Linked DNA regions of Caenorhabditis elegans. The protein of the gene in region 2 purifies or fractionates together with the protein of the main gene of each other region. This does not show direct contact. Each region holds a gene or a part of one and is shown on either strand. Other genes may lie near its edges.

Evidence for each region.
Region 1: the proteins of oac-17 (region 2) and repo-1 fractionate together in Caenorhabditis elegans (co-fractionation; one large-scale study listed by BioGRID). This does not show direct contact.

The regions. Positions count from the first base shown.
Region 1 is NC_003282.8:12,079,432-12,087,467, reverse strand, and holds repo-1 (Splicing factor 3A subunit 2), read right to left. Parts: upstream 2,991-8,036; coding exon 2,434-2,990; intron 2,352-2,433; coding exon 2,240-2,351; 3' UTR 2,148-2,239; downstream 1-2,147. Other genes in the region: F11A10.6 (Transmembrane protein 115), read left to right, coding at 37-220; rbm-34 (RRM domain-containing protein), read right to left, coding at 527-623, 908-1,008, 1,059-2,045; lex-1 (Tat-binding homolog 7), read right to left, coding at 3,452-3,590, 3,962-4,916, 4,963-5,109, 5,168-5,253, 5,310-7,380, 7,423-7,640, 7,688-7,821, 7,868-7,993.
Region 2 is NC_003279.8:13,188,375-13,198,240, forward strand, and holds oac-17 (Acyl_transf_3 domain-containing protein), read right to left. Parts: upstream 6,272-9,866; 5' UTR 6,201-6,271; coding exon 6,064-6,200; intron 5,931-6,063; coding exon 5,666-5,930; intron 5,625-5,665; coding exon 5,486-5,624; exon of another isoform or gene 5,441-5,485; coding exon 5,354-5,440; intron 5,311-5,353; coding exon 5,091-5,310; intron 5,044-5,090; coding exon 4,877-5,043; intron 4,771-4,876; coding exon 4,439-4,770; intron 4,390-4,438; coding exon 4,263-4,389; intron 4,217-4,262; coding exon 3,903-4,216; intron 3,852-3,902; coding exon 3,609-3,851; 3' UTR 3,528-3,608; downstream 1-3,527. Other genes in the region: F17B5.10 (C-type lectin domain-containing protein), read right to left, coding at 1,418-1,574, 1,619-1,878, 1,928-2,209; F17B5.8 (Fuz_longin_1 domain-containing protein), read left to right, coding at 2,767-2,898, 3,163-3,414; clec-109 (C-type lectin domain-containing protein), read right to left, coding at 8,844-8,991, 9,048-9,249, 9,293-9,398, 9,475-9,738.

The DNA.
Region 1 (8,036 bases), on a different chromosome or scaffold from region 2:
TTTGATTTGTTCCAGTTAAAATGCTAATTTTTTCAGACAAAAAGCATTGAAAGAGTTGAACGATCGATTGAACAAGACTCGAACAGCAGAAGTTGCCAGCTACGGAAACTGGGACGATGGTGACGATGATGAGCCGACTGAGGTTACTGTAGTTGCTCCGCCCCCTGTATCAAATGTACATTCTTCAAAACCAGCCATGGACAAAGAATCAATGGCATAAATAGATTTTTGGGTTCCTTTTTTATTAACATTCATTAATTATGTATTTCTTGGATCTCTAGTTTCGACTACTCTCGTTTATGTTTTCTTTCGCTTCATTTTGCTTCCTTGTTCTTCATGGGTGTTTTTCATTTATTGCCTTCTTCCCTCTCTGTGAGTAATTTTTGCATTTATTGTATTTTTCTCTGTGATAGTTTTTTGTTTGATGAATAAAATATTAGATTTAAAAAACTGTTTTTATAGTGATAAAAATAACAAAACAAAACAAATCAACAAAGTTATAGATGAAAACAAAATATTCAAAAACCTATGCCATCAGACGTCCCTTCTTTGCAGCCTTCTTCTTTGCAATGGCTTTCTTCGCTGACTTCTTCAAGGCACGACGATCATTTTGCTCAGTTGTTCTGAAAAGAAAAACAAAATTATCCGGTGACCAACGGAGTGCTAGTTCAATTAAATTACACGCACACGGAGGGCCCACGCTCATATAGCACTACAAGTACCGCAGACGGTAAAGTTCCGAAAGCAGGTTGCAGTCGTGCAAGCAGTGGGGGTCGAACTCGTGGGCGCCGACCTCGAGTACAAACGCACACCCAACTGCGCTACGCTGAACGATTTAAATAGAGAAGAACCGGGCAATGACATTGCGCGCGCGGGCCCTTTGACAAAATGCCACATATTTACAAACCTTTCTTTTTTGGTGGAGAACTTGAACTTGTGCAATTTTCCAGTAATTTCATTCTGGTTCTTCTTTCCGTGAGATGTTCGCTTTTTAGCAGTTTGGATCTTCTGAAAAACAAATTATAAATTGAAGAACTATTCGAAGAAAAAAAACAAACCGTCAAATGTCCCTTCTTCATAACTTTTGTAATGCGCAAGTCGCGTTTTTCCATTTTGATAGTCTCCATGCTCAATGCAAGACTCACAGAAGAATCTTGTTTGAAATTGACAAACGCGAATCCTTTTCCCTTTCCAGTATCTTTATCTCTGACAATTCTGACAGCCTCGACAGGTCCGATTTGTGCAGAGAAAAAAGTAATGAGAGCATCTTCGGTAATCTCGAACGGCAAGTTTCCAACAAAAATGGCCATATCCTTTCCAAATTCTTTCTTCTTACTTCCAACTTTGTCAACACGAATCACATGATCGTCCAGCTTGGTTCCATTGTACTTCAGAGCTTTCTCCACTGATTCTTCTGCTCCGAATTTCACATAGAACGTGAGAGAACTCTGTTTGTCATTCAATTTTCCTGTCAAATGAGTGACTCGTTTCGTCAATTTCTCATTCGCAGGAAGCAGATTTCTCATACGGACAGAGGAAATAGTTCCAAAGTCGGAGAAAATTCGACGGACTGATTTCTCGTTCATTGTCAATGGCATATTTCCAACAAAAACAGTCAGAGCATTTTCAGCAGCTGAAGCACGTGCATTTGACTTTTGAAGAGTTCTATTCTCTCTTTGCTTCGTTCTGTCTCGCTTTCCTTCCTTATTTTCATCTTTTTTCTCTTCTCCTTCTGTTTCAGGTGCAACTTCTTCAGCAGCAGCAGCAGCATCAGCTGCCTTCTCTTCTTCAGCCTTTTTTTTTGGATCATACTTTCTTCTTTTAGGTTTTTCAATTACTTTATCTCCCTTCACAACTTCCTCTTGTACTGCTGCTCCTTCTGACGACTTTCCGAAGAGACTTGATAATCCACCAGCCTGATAATTATCAGGTTCAGAGACTGGAAGACTTGGTTTCTGCTTCTTGATTTTCTTCGGAGCTTCTGCAACGGCTTCTGCGTCAGCGGACACTGCTTCAGCTTTTCTTTTGACAACCTTCTTCGCCATCTGAAACTGATTTTTTAAACTATGAAAACTATAATTTTAATTGAATAGACATTGTAGACGGATCAGTCAACCTATACTTGATTTAAATAAAATATCATCATTAAAAAAAAGGAAAATAATTTATTGTTAGATCATCGAAAAACACGAAAAAATTGTTTTGAATTTTGAAATCAAAAAGATAAAAACATAGAGTATCAATAGTACGGCTGATCATCGAGTCGTTCCAATTTGAATGCGACTTGTAAGAAGAATTGCTTCGTGTCTTTGTTCCACATCGTCCAAAATTTTTCAGATTTGTCAACTTCTCTGGAAAAAATTACTTGGTATATACAATTTTTTTAATCGTAACTATGAGATAGAAAAGTGCTAAAATGTTGTAAAGCCTCACCTTGATGGAATTTTGAATCCAATCGTTTCATACGGCTCAGCAGCAAACAAGAGGTATTGCCATCTCTTGTCTGGAGGCTGAATCTTTTGCTCATAAGCAGACATAAATCGATGACGTGGCGCAATACCGTCAGCAATCTCCGGATAATCAATTTGGAAGAGAAGTGCTTGCTGGCCAGCTCCTGGATCACGTTCTTTTGTTACCTTGTATCCAGGACGTCCGATTTTCACAAACTTTTTAGTTTCAACTGCAGCTTTCTGTGGAGCTGGTAGAAATGGTTGTTCAGATTGTTCTTTAGCGGCACGCCGTGCAAGATTCGCTTGATGCTTCTTTCCTTGTGTATGTGCCAAATAAGATCCTTCATTGTTGTGAAGAGTAAGACACAGCTTGCATTCGTACGTTCCAATGTGATTTCGCATGAAATACGGATCCTTTTGAAGATCAATTGTCTCTAGAGCCAACTGGCGGAGCCGTTCCCGTCGATCAACACCAGCATCGGCGGCCGAAGCCACTCCTCCGCTTCCCGTTTTTCCTCCAGCTCTGTTCTGAAAGTCCATCTGAAAGAAAAAGTTTAGATGATTGAATATATTATAAATTTAAAATAAAATCGAAAATATATAAATATCCGAAGTTAAACGGATCATTAAAACAAAAATAGGTATTAGCATTAAACATCGAATGATTCACAATTTACTCATTTTCGAAAGACCAGGTTAAAGATAATGGAAAAGATTAATGAAATAATAGAAGGGCACGTGAATACACCCGAGAGGCAGGCAATGCTCACTCGAATAAATTGGAGGGGAATTAATTATGGTAGAGATTTAATTTGAATAAAAATGGACAAAGAAAAATAGGTGAGTATCACGGTAGCCGCACTTATTTTGAAAGTTTTCTTTCGCACAAAGGGGTTTTTGACAAGAGGAAAACTGGTGGAAATTATGATAAAACGGATTTCAGTTTGAAATTATAAAATCGATAAACGGAGGTAGATTGGAAGAGGAGGATGGGACATCATTTAGTGTCCATTGGCAAGATTTCCATTCGATTTGTTGAGGGTTCCATTAACAATTGTATTGTTCGAATCGTCAGCTGTTTGCCATTCACGTACAATTTGGGTAAGTTGGGCTGGTAGATTTTCGCGGTTCCATTCGTCCCTGAATAATATTTAATTGTTAAAAATAAATATTGTTTATTTTATTCTACATTGTGACTACAATTTTTTCGGGATTTTTCAGAGAATATCGAAAATATCAAAATAGGAAAATCACGGAAAAGCCGAAGAAATGTACAGAAAATTACGAGCATTTTTTCAATTGAATTGAAATTTTTTCAATTAACCGGAAATTATTGAAAATTTCAATTTTTTTTCAAAATAACGAAATTATCAATTTTTGAAATTTTCAAAAATATAAACAACCTTCATAATAAATGTTTTCTATGTTTTAAAACGTTCCAAAAATCCTTAACATTTCCTTTTAGTTCAAACAAAAAGAACAGCGAGGTAATAAAAAATCATATAACTCACCGGAATCGTTCAATTGTATGTGATAGAACAGAAGACAAACGTTCCAACTCGCTGACTGACCAACCCTCCGACTTTTCGACACAACACTGAATCAGCTCGCATGTTGCTGGCTTCGAAACTATCAATTCTTTCTCAGCAATCGAAATTTGCACGGAAGGTGTAGAATCTTTAGAAGCATCTTTCATCTCGATATCATGTTCACTGTTTGGAGTTTCCTGATTTTTCTTGATTTCAAGATTTTCTACAATTGTATCTTCTCCTGCGTCTTCAACTGTACTATCTTCATCGTGCTCTTCAGATTCGCCGGTTTTGCTTTTCTTTTGACCCTTCTTCTTTTTGAGCAATTTCTTTTTATTTCCAGCAGAAGCTGGAACTCCATCAGTTGATGTGCTCGTTCCTTCTTCACTTTTCATATCTTCTACAGGGACAACAACGAGTTCCAATGTTGGAGCAGCTACACCAAGCTTGCTCAACATTTTTTGATTTTCAGCTTCACGCTCTGATGTCCATTGCTCAATTTCTTTTGCAAGTGAATTGGTCATAGACCACGCCTTTTTTCGGGCAAAACCTTTGGGAATTTCTGTGAGTAATTTATCAGAGGTTGGAGTTACTCCAGCGTCTTGTAGCATTCGTGAAACTGTTTCAATTCGTTCGACAAACGATTCGTCAAGTTCACACTCGATCAGATCATCAATTGCATCTCGAAGTGTATTTGCCATTTGACGAATCAGTTTTCCGTCTTTTGTTGTCGACGGATTATATTCGAGAGCATTCGTTTGAATCAATATCAAGTCAGCAACAAATTTGTCCGCATGATTATATTCGCAATTATTCAGCTTTTCCATAATATCCTGCATACAAATCGGTGTTTCGATAATCTCATAATAGTCCTCAGCCTCATCCGGATCCACGGGCTCGACAAATTCAACGAATCGACGATCTCGCATAAGACGTGCTGAAAATATTCAATGAGGTTGAGCATGCGGAATATTAAAACTCACTGAGCCTCTCTTTGAAGAATAATCTCATTTGTCGCTGCAAAGCAGTGTACATCTTCAAAAGTTCTCTTGTCTCGTCATCATTGAGCTTTCTAGAAGGCTTCGAATCGGGAGAATCGTCATCTGGTAGAGGCATCTCATAGACTGTTGCTGAAATATGGACAAAGGATTTAAAATTTTTAAAAAATTGTATTTCGTTGAGACTTACGATCAAATACTTTTGGTGGAGTGTTAATCTTCTCAATAACGTGCTCGAAATATTTTTGACGAATTGTTCGGCGGGAAGGATTCAAACTGAAAATTATTATATTTTAAAAATGTTCTGAAAACACATTTCTAGTTATACTCACGTGATACAGTTTGCATGTCTGAAAATTTCCGTGACATATTCAGGCGCATCTTCAAACGAAGTGTCAAGCGTCGATAGGAAAAGAATCGGCGTGAAACCAGTCATTGATTCCAGACATGTGATAAGCATATGTTGAACTGATACAGGAATGACTTTAATCCATTCATCGATTGATGGAAGAAGCATGATACATGGGCCGGTTGCTGATGCACGCATTGCCGACTGAATTGCATTTGAAAATGCTTCTTCTGGACGTCCATCTGTTAAAAGACTTGAAACAGAAAGAGAGAACACCGGTAGATGATCCAGTTTTGCTAGAATGGCGGGAAGAACGTAAGACGTTTGTCCACCGTCCGCGAGTTGCTCAGATCCACATAGAAGAAGACGAATAGCAGGCACGGTTGGATTAGGTTCCAATGCCCTAACAACTTGTTCCAGTTCGCTTGAAGCTGTCGCCATTGCATTTTCCACGCATCGATATCCTTGTGGAATTCTCAACGAAATCAAGTTGCTCACAGTATCTCCAAGTAAAATTGAAGTTCGTTCATCCAATGGTCTCGATGGAATTGTAAGATCTCGTCTGGAAGCAGGTGTGATCCTCCGCATTGCATGTCCAAAATGCTCAGAAGTGATTTTAATGGTGGCAACGTCGAGTTTCAGCCTTTCAGAACACATGTAGATATGAGGATATCGAGATCTCAATCCAATAAGAACTGCTTCTGTGCACAAGAATTTCAAATCGGCACCGCAATATCCACTAGTTCTCTCTGCAATAGCATCGAGTGTTTCCGGAATCGGTTTGTTTTCCTCCCATTTGGAAGTGTGAATATCTAAAATTTGTCGTCGGGCATTCAAATCAGGAAGGGAAAAACGGAGTTCCCTATCAAAACGTCCTGGTCTTCGTAGAGCTGGATCAAGAGTATCTAATCGATTTGTAGCTCCAATTACAACAACTTCTCCTCGACCATCTAATCCGTCCATCAGTGCTAACAATGTACTCACTATGCTCGCATGAATTTGATCTTGTTTCGAAGAACGAACTGGAGCTAAACCATCGATTTCATCAAAAAAGATAATTGATGGACGCATGGCATATGCTTGATCAAACAATAGTCGAAGTTGTCTTTCAGACTCTCCGACCCATTTACTCAAACAATCAGCTCCTTTTCGCATAAAGAATGCAACTTTGTTGGCTCCTCTTCGGCATTCATTCGCAAGAGCACGTGCAACAAGAGTTTTTCCGGTTCCTGGGGGCCCATAGAATACGACACCTTTTGGCGGATTTATTCTGAACTTTTCAAATACTTCAGGATAAAGCATTGGGAAAAGGACAACTTCTTTGAGAGATTGAATATGATGACCGAGTCCTCCAACTTGATCGAAACCAACCGACGAATCAACACTCATTGGATCAATGTCACTTGCACCTTGACCAGCATCAGTTTTTCTCATTCGATCCATCAGAATGTGTTGGGCAGACTGCAATTCTTTTTCGGTCATATTGATCGGCATAAATCGACCACGTTCACGTTCTCCACGGTTATGCATATGAGGCCTCGATTGACGTTTATCAGGTCTCGGAAGCACCATATCATCACTATCAGAATCCGAATCGCTTCGTCTTCGACGAGATCCATTTCGATTGCGGTGATGTCTGTTTTGATTTGCAACCCGATGATGTTCAAGACGAGCCCGTCGATTTTCACGAGCTTCTGATGCATTGAACTGGACAACTGGTTGACGGCGGCGAAGACTGTATTGACGTGGAGCAGTTGATTCCTCTGAACTTTCTGCATTGCTGCTATCATCCTCTTCTTCTTCTGGATCTTTTTCACCGCTTTGCTCATCTTCTTCAGCGCCTTCCTCCTCTTCTTCCCTTCCAATTTTCTCAATCAAGTCCTCATTTTCTTGTTCAGCCATTCCATCAATTTCAGCAATTGGTAGCACAATCTCGCCACCTCCTTCCATTGGCAACGGATCATCTGCTGCTAGATTTTCCTCTGGTTGCTCACTTCCAAGGCGCTTGGCGGCTTTGCGAGTCCTGCGAACCGGCGACTCTTCCTGTTCTGAAACTGAAATTCGCTTATATTTTTGAAATTATGCGATTCGTGTACCTCCAAGTTCTTCGTGCATTGATGAACGTCTTCTGGTGCTACGTCGAGTTGCACGCTCGGGGACTGTGTTCTCAACGTGCGCCGCTTCAGCAAAATCTTCCTCTTCCTCGTCAGACAAATATATCCGCTTTCGTTTTGCAGGCGGCACTTTTTGATTTCGCTTGGATTCATCTATCGCCTGCATTACTTGTTGTCTGTATGTCATCGAATTCGAGCTTCTAAATTTTAACAATTATAATATTTTTTGTCAAAATTATCAAAAAACCTTCGAGTTCGATATCGTCTTTCATCTTCCTCGCTGCTAATTGCCTCATGATATTCCTCTTCGTAATAACGATTGTGATTAATTTTCCGTCCGGAACGTGTGTACCCATTTCCATCTACACCACCGCTGCTTCTCTGTAAATAGTCAATTTAAAAATGTATATGTTTTGAATTAACTCACTCTTCTGCTTGATGGTGCGTACATGTCATCAAAATCCTCGTTGCACTGACCCGCATACGAACGCGAGTGATCTCGAGCAGATCTCCGCAAATTTTTGCGCGGAGAAAATCCGTCTGAGCGAGGCATCTCTGAAAAGCTGAAATTTTCGAAAAATCGATAATGTAACAAG
Region 2 (9,866 bases):
GTATGGTCGAAATGGATGTATTCTTTGTACTGACGAATTTCATGTTTTTTCAGCCCCAAATCTTCAGTTTTTCTGACATTTGGTTCCAATTTGTGCGCAAGAGAGAACTTCGTATTTCCAATTTTTTGAAACTATTTTGAAAAAAATTGGCCCACTTTCCAAAATGTAGACCATCATTCAATTTTTGCAAAATCAAAAAGATTAATTAAACGTGAAAAACTTTTCTACCACTCTCTCTCTTTCTCTATTTTTGGTGATGAATTCGATAATTTTCATTTCTTATTTTTAATAACGTGAGGAAAACTCAATTTTGAAGACTTTTCGAGATTTTTACTTTTTCCCAAATCTAATTGAGGGCCGCACTTTTTGAACATGTTGGCTACTTTTAACCTGACTTCCAGCAGGACAGGCTGGAGGCCTGCAATGCTATTGGTTTTCAGTCAAACCCAAAAATCAAGGATTAGGGCCGCCTTCTTACTCTTTGAAACTTTAGGCCTTTTCTATCCCTACTCCCAGCAGAGCAGGCTGGAGGCCTTCTCTGAGAGGTATGTTTCTATAACTACGTATGTTTTTGGAAAGGTAATGAAAAAGGTCACCTAGGTCAGTTAACCGGATTGAGGGCCGGAGGCCCGAATACACAAAAGTATTGGACAGCCGTTAAGCCTATACTGAGCCCAAAAACTCGAGTTGAGGGCCGCAGGCCCGAATACACGAAGAAGTGTTGGAGATCCGTCAAGCCTATTCTTAGCATAATAATTCAGTTCGAGTGTCGCAAGCCCAAATAGACGCAGAAGTGTTGGACAACTTTTAGGCCTATTCTGAGCCCAATAATTCATGTTGAGGACCGCAGGCCCGAATACACATAGAAGCGTTGGACAGCTGTTAAGCCTATTTTAAGCAAAAAAAATTTGAAAAGTGGAAATTGTTATTTATAAAATTATCATTAAACTAAATTTGGCCGGTCTTGACAAACTTCAGCACATTTACTTGACATTTACTAAACACTTGGCTAAATATTAATAAAGCGAATGATTCTTGAGTTACTCTACGCCGAACCAAACCGCGAAGCCTAGCAAATCTCCGATTTGCTAGTAGCAGTAGAAAAATAAATTGTTCAATTCAAGATTGTGCCAATTTGTAGCAAATTCAGAGAAAAAATGTAACAAACCACAAAAAAACTATTATTAGGTTCTATGTTGGGATTTTCCTCACAGATTTTTTTCAAAGATTGGGTCACAATTGGGTCGCCAATCTGACGACCGGGGTTCGAGTCTATATTTGAACAAAGTTTTCTGTTTTTTTTGTGTACACATACTCTATGTAATTGTACTCTTGACTATTCTTTTATTGAGTCTTGGAACAGTTTGCAGAACTCAAAAAAAAACATAATAACTTTTACCCAAAAAAGTAAGATTAATTAATTATTTCTTAATCCAACTTTTCCACATGCATAGGAGTTGATTGTCTTATACCCACGGCAATACGAGTCATCAATGAATCCATTGGAATTTGGCGGTTTCTGTGAAAGTGTCGCACCAGCTAATGAGTAGATGTATATGCATGGTGGGGAAAAGCTGCAAATTAATTTTTCGTATTTTCTAGTGAAACTTTAACTCACTAGAGATTAGCCGGCTCTCCAGGAGCCCACAACATCCCTTCAGTGCCAACAGTGTTCCAGTCTGTCCAGACACATCCACGAATAGTACAACTCGCGCCGAGCCACGTTCCAGAGTCCGTTTGTCCATTTGCAGTCAATATTTCCATACTTTTATTGGCCATCCAAATGCGTTCTTCATTGCTCTGAATACCGGAAAGAGAACCGCCGAGGTTTGAACACGCCGTCGTAGCTCCATTATAGTCCAGAGTTGCTGCTACTATCTGGAATCAGTACTAGGAATCACGAAAAATTAGTTAGATTAAATCTTACCCGGACACACCAAACTCCTTGCGGTCTGTAAAATGCGTGCCAATCGTCGTCACAAGGCTTTGGCGTTGGGCGAGGTGGCGGACGGTTTCCATGATGTCCCCCATGATGCCCCCCATGATGCTTCTTTCCTCCATAATAACCTTCCTCTGATGATGAGCTACTTGAATCGGAATTGCCCCGATTACTGCCGCCACGTAAGAAAACTGTCGCAATTGGAACTAACAACGAAAAACATGCAATGAGTTTCAAAAAAATGCATGATGAATAAGAAACATTGATCATTATAGTGGATTTATATATTGAGGGGTTTTGCGGAGTTTTATTACGGTAATTATTTCTACAAAATCTTGTAACTGATCAGCGGCAGGGTGGCTCATAATTACGGGGTGCTAGGGGTTTTTCGAGCTCGGCAAATTCTAATATCTGCTACACAGCCCTGATAAGAAAGGGGGAGAGAGAGGGTGCGCGCAGACAACAAGACACGCTAGCTGTCTGCGTCTCCGGGATGTCCCTAATTTGAAACTCTTGTAGCTCCCTCACGCAAAAATTGTTAACTAACAAAGAAATACGAATTTTGCTTTTTTTCCCTATCTTTCAGGAATTATGATAAATTATTTTTATTCCAAAAAAAAGCTCTCAAATAACTAAATTCATTTAACTACAAAATGCGTATTTCCAAAAATTCAAGTTTTCAGTTTCCCCTGCCTAACAAAACACCAAACTAAAAATTATCACCTTATCACTATTGCAATCAAATATTTGTCATTATCATCATTTTCACGGGCATAAAATTGAAAGTTTCTGAATAATTTCTACATTTTTCTCAAAAAATATATATTATGTGCGAAACTGTTCAGGACCTAGAAGACTATATTCAATATCAATTTGATGATATCGCATCGTTTAAGCTCGCGATTTTCTTAAGCTCCGGCGAGATTCAGGTTAAATTCGCTTTGGGACAGGTGGAGCAGGTATGATTTTTTGGAAAATATTTATGAATATTATATTGTTGAGTAAAAATAATATAAGTTCCAATCTGTCTGGAAATTACCGAGCCATTTATATTTTGGATTAGATAAATCTAATCATCTTGGAAAATATTTAAAAAAAATCACAATTTTTCTTTGAAATTTTAATCAGAAACTCACCACTTTTGTAGTTCAGTGGTACTGTAATTCTGAAATTAATTTAAAACAAAAATCTGTATTTTAAAATCTATATTTCAATTTTTACAGAACCTTATTACTTCTCTAACATCAATATCAACTTCTGCCGACAAATTCTCTATTGGAGATATCGATTTTCTAAGGGCAACACCTGTAAACTCAAACATCGTCTCAAAGTTTGCAGCTACCAATGAATCATCAACGCCACGTATCTTTGTTACGGAGAAAAATAATAATTTGTTCATAGTTTATTGTTGTGGAACAACTTGTGATAAGGATGAGCCACGGGTGCAGATGCTCATGGAGAATTTGATGATTTGATTGGAATAAGGATTTTTTATTTTCGTTATTTAAAATGATAGTGGGAAAATGACTACTAACAAGTGGTTGGAAGAATATTTTGGAAAATTTAAGTAGAACATTTTTTTGTTAGCTAAATAAAAATGTTTATTTTAGACATTTCCTGTATTACCCGAAAAATTAAAGCTCTGATAAAAATTTCAGCATTCTAAGATTTACAAATTATTACAAATGTCCGTCCAAACATGTCTAACATGTTCTAAACCATGCGGTGAAAGGTGGTTCTCCTCAGTCAGGTACGAGAAGCCTTTGTCGTCAAAAAACCGGAATGTTCTAGTGGAATTATTGTAGAATTCTGGGAGATAATCGACGAGCGCACATTTTCCCTGACAATCTTTAAGGAGTTGTGCGTGACGAGTCCGAGCTGCTTCATAATCAATAAAGTCATTCAGGAGGGTCTGTAAAATAAAAGTATCAGTTCAATTTCAGAAATTCACTAAAAAACATACATCAATTTCGGCTAAATCTTTGCCTTCTTTCACCAACGGTGCTATTCTCGATACCGTTTCCCTGTGTACTCGAGGTATGGCATCCAGGATGTACAGTTTATATTTGATATTTGAAATAAAACCAAGCATCTTCTTTTTCATAATTAGGTAGATTGGATCTTCCTCAATAGTTTTTTGAATTGGATGTCCTATATTCATAAATCTCGTGAACAAAAACGCATAGTCCGGCTGCTCATTCTTGATTTGCTGCTCAAAAAGCGTAGAGGCTGGCTCACAGTTTTTGCTAATCTCAAATGGATAAAGAGGTTCACATCCTAAAATTGATGACATGTAGGGTAAAGAATTTAAATTTAAATTTACCAAATGAACATCCTTGCAAGATACTCTTTGTCTTGGCGTGGCATTCTTGATAGAACAACGTGGCATGATTATCCGCCCAGCTATTGCCAAATATGACCATTTTATACTTGCCGGAGTCTTGAAGGCCCTGAAATATAGTGTAGTACTGTAGTTCACATAACGAAAATTTTGCCTACCGTATGCCTGCACCACCTCTCTGAGTTTTTCGTTCCTGCATACTTGCAAGTTGGCGTGTAAAAGTTCACATAATCTCTCACTGTCCACTGGTAATTCAATCGAATCGCGTCGTCCACTGTCATGTTACTGGTTACAATATCTCTATTTGAGTTGGTCCTCAAGTGTACGCGATCCAAGATATCGTCCTTGTTAATCACAATCACATTTAGGAGGAATAAGGTGACAACTAAGACCCCAATATTTGTTAAAGACAGGTGAAGGTACCACTTTTCGAATCCTTCGAAGGAAATGACAGCAAGAATGCAGGAAGCAGCCAAGGCAACAATTAGTACTGAAAGTCAAATAGAATTGCAGTTGTAAGTATTAGTCGTTCTGTTATATGCTTCAACAGAACACCATATAACCATATAAATCAAAATTCCCACTTCCCAACTCACAATACGAATCACCCCCGTAGGTAAGCTTCCAGTATGCATAAATTGGCCAATGAATGAGATAAAGTGAATATGAGATGTCACCGATATAAGTTAAAACTCTATTGGATAGAAATTGATTTCCACTGGAGATAAGCATCAATAGCCCTGTCCCAATTGTGATGAGTGGTCTGAAACATATATAAATTTTTATAACGAATCCCTATAATAAAGGTACCTTCCAAAATCTGAACTTAGCGAAAATGGACAGGTAGTTATAAAAACCAGTGTAAGAATTAGGATATAACTTGAAGTTTTCTCAATGATATCTTTGCTCACATTGGTGGGATTCCGCTCTACATCTTGAGATTCTTCATCACTTAGTAGTGGTTCTTTATCGCCTACTGATGAGCTTTCACTTGAGATTTTAGCTTGCGAAGCTCCGTAGACTAGCATACCTGAAATTTTATATGAAACTCTGTAACCAACAGTCGTTAGAACCTATCAAAAACTGCCAAATCCTAGCAAACACACTGTTAAACGCCACAGTAGCTGGGGAGGAATAGTAATAGCCAATTGAGAATAATCCTGAAATTTGAGCATAAAAGTGAAGTCCAGAAGCTCAAATCTCACCTATGACTCCATAATATCCATATTGAAGCTTCTGGGGTATCTTGTTTCCGATTATGTAGATGGAGGGAACAATAAGGTAGAATTGAATCTCTACGGATAGGGACCAGGTATGGGTGAAAATGTTCACGGCGATGGCGAGCTGAAGTGAGGAGTTTTTGATGATCAACAAATAATAAAAACCATTTCAAAATAGTCCTCTTCAATAGTCATTGGTTTATTGGACACGAAAAGCAATGACATAACTGCGGAAGACCTGTTGGTTTCAATAGCGGTAGCCGGAAAGAAGTTATAGAGAAAAATCATAGAGATCAGGATGATGAGGAGATAAAGCGGAAGTATTCGCTTGAATCTTTTGGAATAGAACAAGGTAATCAGAGAGAATGGGGACTGGTCTTCAGCTCGTTTGAGCAGCATGCACATGAGAAAGCCGGAGAGCACGAAGAATCTGGAAAGTGAAATGATTACTTGTAACAGCTTTTTGTAAGATCAAAAGGATCTTCAGGTTGCTTCAGTTTTAGATTCTAGAAATGTGTCAGACGAAACAGTCAAACCCAAGTTTTAGACTCAGTGGAACTTACTGATCAACTCCGAGATATCCATTCGGAAATGTACCGGGCAAGAAATGAAATCCAAGTACTGATAAAATAGCGAGCCCTCGAATTCCTTGAAGATCCTGCCGTTTTGAAGGTTTTGGTTTGAACTTTTGTAGGTCCATTAGCAATACCACCTCAATATTGTCGATTCTTCAATTTTCAAATGTAATCCAAAACCCGATAAAAACGAGAAGAAAGATCTTTAGAATGCATAGGACACCCACAAACTACGAAAAATACGTAATGACGAACAAAACAAGCTGGCATCTAGATTAGCTTATCCCTGAAAATCAGGAAAAAAAATAAAATCGGGAAAAAAGCTCTAAGAGGGTATTTGCTATAGGATTACAGTAGGCAGGAGTACTAACGAAGAAAGTTCAGTTTTGTTGGAGAAGCCTGATCGGAGTGGGAATATTGAGGTACCCAGCGAAAAATTTTGAGTTTCCGAGATTCATGAGATCCGGTTTATTGCTAATCGCTCTTTTTCATCTAGTTCGAAAAATTAAAAGACCAATTCTGAGATTTTTGAGGAAATCCTACAGTACGCCCAACTTCTGTGCGATTTAGGAAGTTTCTGAACTTTTCCAGGTTAAAAATTTGGAGCAAGAGAGCAAAAAAAATCTACCGCCTAACTTTTTGTCAAATATTATCATTAAAATGCTGGTTTTTTTTCCAAAAAATTGGAAAATTTCAGGTGGTCCAATAGCAGTTGAGTAATTGTTTTTTTTTGAGCTGAAACCGATACCAATATCGGAGTTTCCTGAAAAGTTTATAAATATCATAAACTTCTCAAACGAAGGTTCTATAGCAGTTGGGCGCCTCCGGTTTTTTGTCCCCAGCGATACAGCAAAAAAAACCAATACCAGCAACTTCTCTGCAAATATTCCTAATTACCACAACGGTGTCATTGCTTTATCGGAACATTTCCAAGCTAGAAACCTGAACAGGACATTTTTCAAAATCGTCAGTTAGAAACTGAGATAGCATCAGACCTCCATCATGTTATGGAAATTTTCTGCTTGATGCCCTGAACTTTTGAGAAAAATTGGAAACGGTTTTGCGGTAGGCACCCTTTTATTTAACAATTTCATGTACATGTCTTGCGCAAACTTATCTGTTTTATTTGATTATTAATATTGAAGTTTTATGAATGATTTTCAGATACAGTATATTTAAGAATTCGAATAAATTTCCCTTTAAAAGTTGTAGTTAGAAAGCTGGCACAGATAAGACAGGCAGGTGAGACGCCTATATGAAAACCTGATGCGGCAAATTTCTTTGGTTCATCTAATTCATAAAAATAAATCAAAAATCACTTGAGAAGATTCCTTAAGTAGAATTAATGCTAAAAGTTAACAAATCTGTAGAAGAAGGTTCAAACGAAACATATAAAGAAATAAATCGCCTTCAAACTATGAATAAAATCCATAAAAATCGAATGGCAAAGCTGGACGGTGTTTTCCTATCTCGAAAATCAAAAACTCTTTAAAAAATTGCGACTAGTGTTTCAGGCATGACAAGATGATCCGATTAGAGAAGACACGGCTGGAAAAATGTTGGTTTACCATTTTGAACTAAGGATATTTAGCTTCAAGCTGGTAGAGTCTATTTTGGAATTCCGGTTTATTCCCGGTTAAGACAAAGGAAATTATAAGATCAATGATCTTTGAGATTCACGCTGTGCGGGTAGCTCAAGTGTATTTTTAGTGAAAAACTCACACCTTTACTGACATGGCTCGGATTTGTGCACAACTGGGCACAAAATGAAAGGAGCTTAAAGATTTCAAAGTCAAAAATTTTCACAGAAAACCGCCCCATCCACTAATGCAGGAGGAATAACTCAGCCGTAAAGCTACAACTGTTCAGTTTTTCAGGATTTTACTATGAATTAAGTAAAAAATATATAAGAAAAAACACAAAAAAAAAATTTTTCAGGACACTGTTATTAAAAAAAAAAATTTAGATAGTCATCTCCGTAACGCTTCCAACTAGGCACGATGTTGCAATTTTCTCCTAGAATGTTGCGGTTGGGTGGAAAATGATCAAACACCATTGGGTTAATGGAAAAAAGAGATAAAAGGAAGTACATTGAGAAAAATCGCACAGCTATTACGGGGAGCAATACTTCGAAACTTACAAACCAAATAACTTCCGGATAAATAAAAATAACTAAAAACACAAATTGGTGTTTCAAAAAAGTATTGACTCGATAGCTGAAACCTTTTAAGTTCTAAAGCCGAATCCACAGCATGATGCATCACACAGGCCCTAAAGCTCTCAACTCGGAAACATAGTACATCAACCCATTCACTTCTAAATGTGGAATCTTACACTATTTTAAACAAGGTACGTTCATCAAAACCTGCAAATTCCAAAAACAGAAGGCAGTCATCGTCAGGGCCAGTAACTCCAAGATATGGGTGCAATGACCGGGAGCTTACAGATTTTGAGGCATGGTTTTGGACACATAGTCCTCATAGTATTTCAGTTTTTCTCAGCAAATTCTACTTGAATTTCTGGGAGTCGCATGTTTCGTTCCGTCTCATATCTTCATTTTAATCTCACCGACGATTTCCTGGCGAAGAACATCTATTGGATACGCGATTTACAAAAATCAGGCAACATAGAGAAAGGTATCCTGCATGGCCACCAAAATAAAAATCATTTTCCATATATTTTCGGTCAATGGCGCCTAAATTTTACTTATTATTAACCATTTAAACAATAACAGTGGAAAACTTTAATTTAGAAAAACATAATTTAAGTTAGCTCGGCAACTTTCCACAGACGTATGCTTTAACCCATGTTGCTTGACAAAACTCATCATCCACTGATTCATGAACAAAGTCTGCGAATCCTAGCTCGGTATTCGAATATGGAGTGACAATCATATGCAAACATTGTTGAACTCCTCTGAAGATTTGGTTATTGAATGCCGTGTCCAACATCCCAACAGAAGTTTCACTAACCCGTATTGTGGTAAATAATAACCGTCGAGTTCCCGAGGGCCAGTTGAGAATCCAGCAGTACCCGTCGTATGCCCATCTGTCCACTCGATACTGTCCAGTCGGGCACATGAGGTACCGGTTGGGCAGCGAGCTCTTCTTTTTCCGCCGAGCCATGCTGTGTACCTTCCACCACCGTGCTGGTATATCAAACCACGGAGGACATCTTCAGGATCAGAAAGAGTTTGCTTATATAATTCTGAGCTTACAAGAAATAGTCATCCTTTCATTGGCATTCTGAAGCCCTGAGAGTCTTGCTCCGACTGCGTTGCACTTTGCCTCGGCCTCTGGTTGGAACATGTTTCCGTAGAACGCCTGTAAAATTTAATTTGCGGTATAAACCAGATTTGTGAATGTTCAAGTCATACGGTAAATCTATAATTTAAACTACCTTCATACACCATCTGCCTTGAGGCCTCTCAAAAGTGATCCAATCTCTCGGACAGGTACGAGTTGGGCGTGAACGTGAACTGTGAGTGAGGCGTGAATTTTTATGCCTACGTTTACTTCGTTCTTCAGAAGAACTCGAAGAATAAGAAGACGAAGAACCAACGTGTTTAATAATTTTTATTACTTTTCTAGGATTTTCATTTCTAAAATTTCCCAAAGTAATAGTAACCCAAATGATCAATAATAGGAGGTGTAAGGGTTTCATGATCATGAGCTTTTGAGTTTCATGATTTTTGAATGTTCTACCTTTGTTTAGTTTAAGTTTATGTTCACACGTTTTACTACAATAAACCCTGAGAACAAACCTTCATACACCATCTTCCCTGTGGTCTT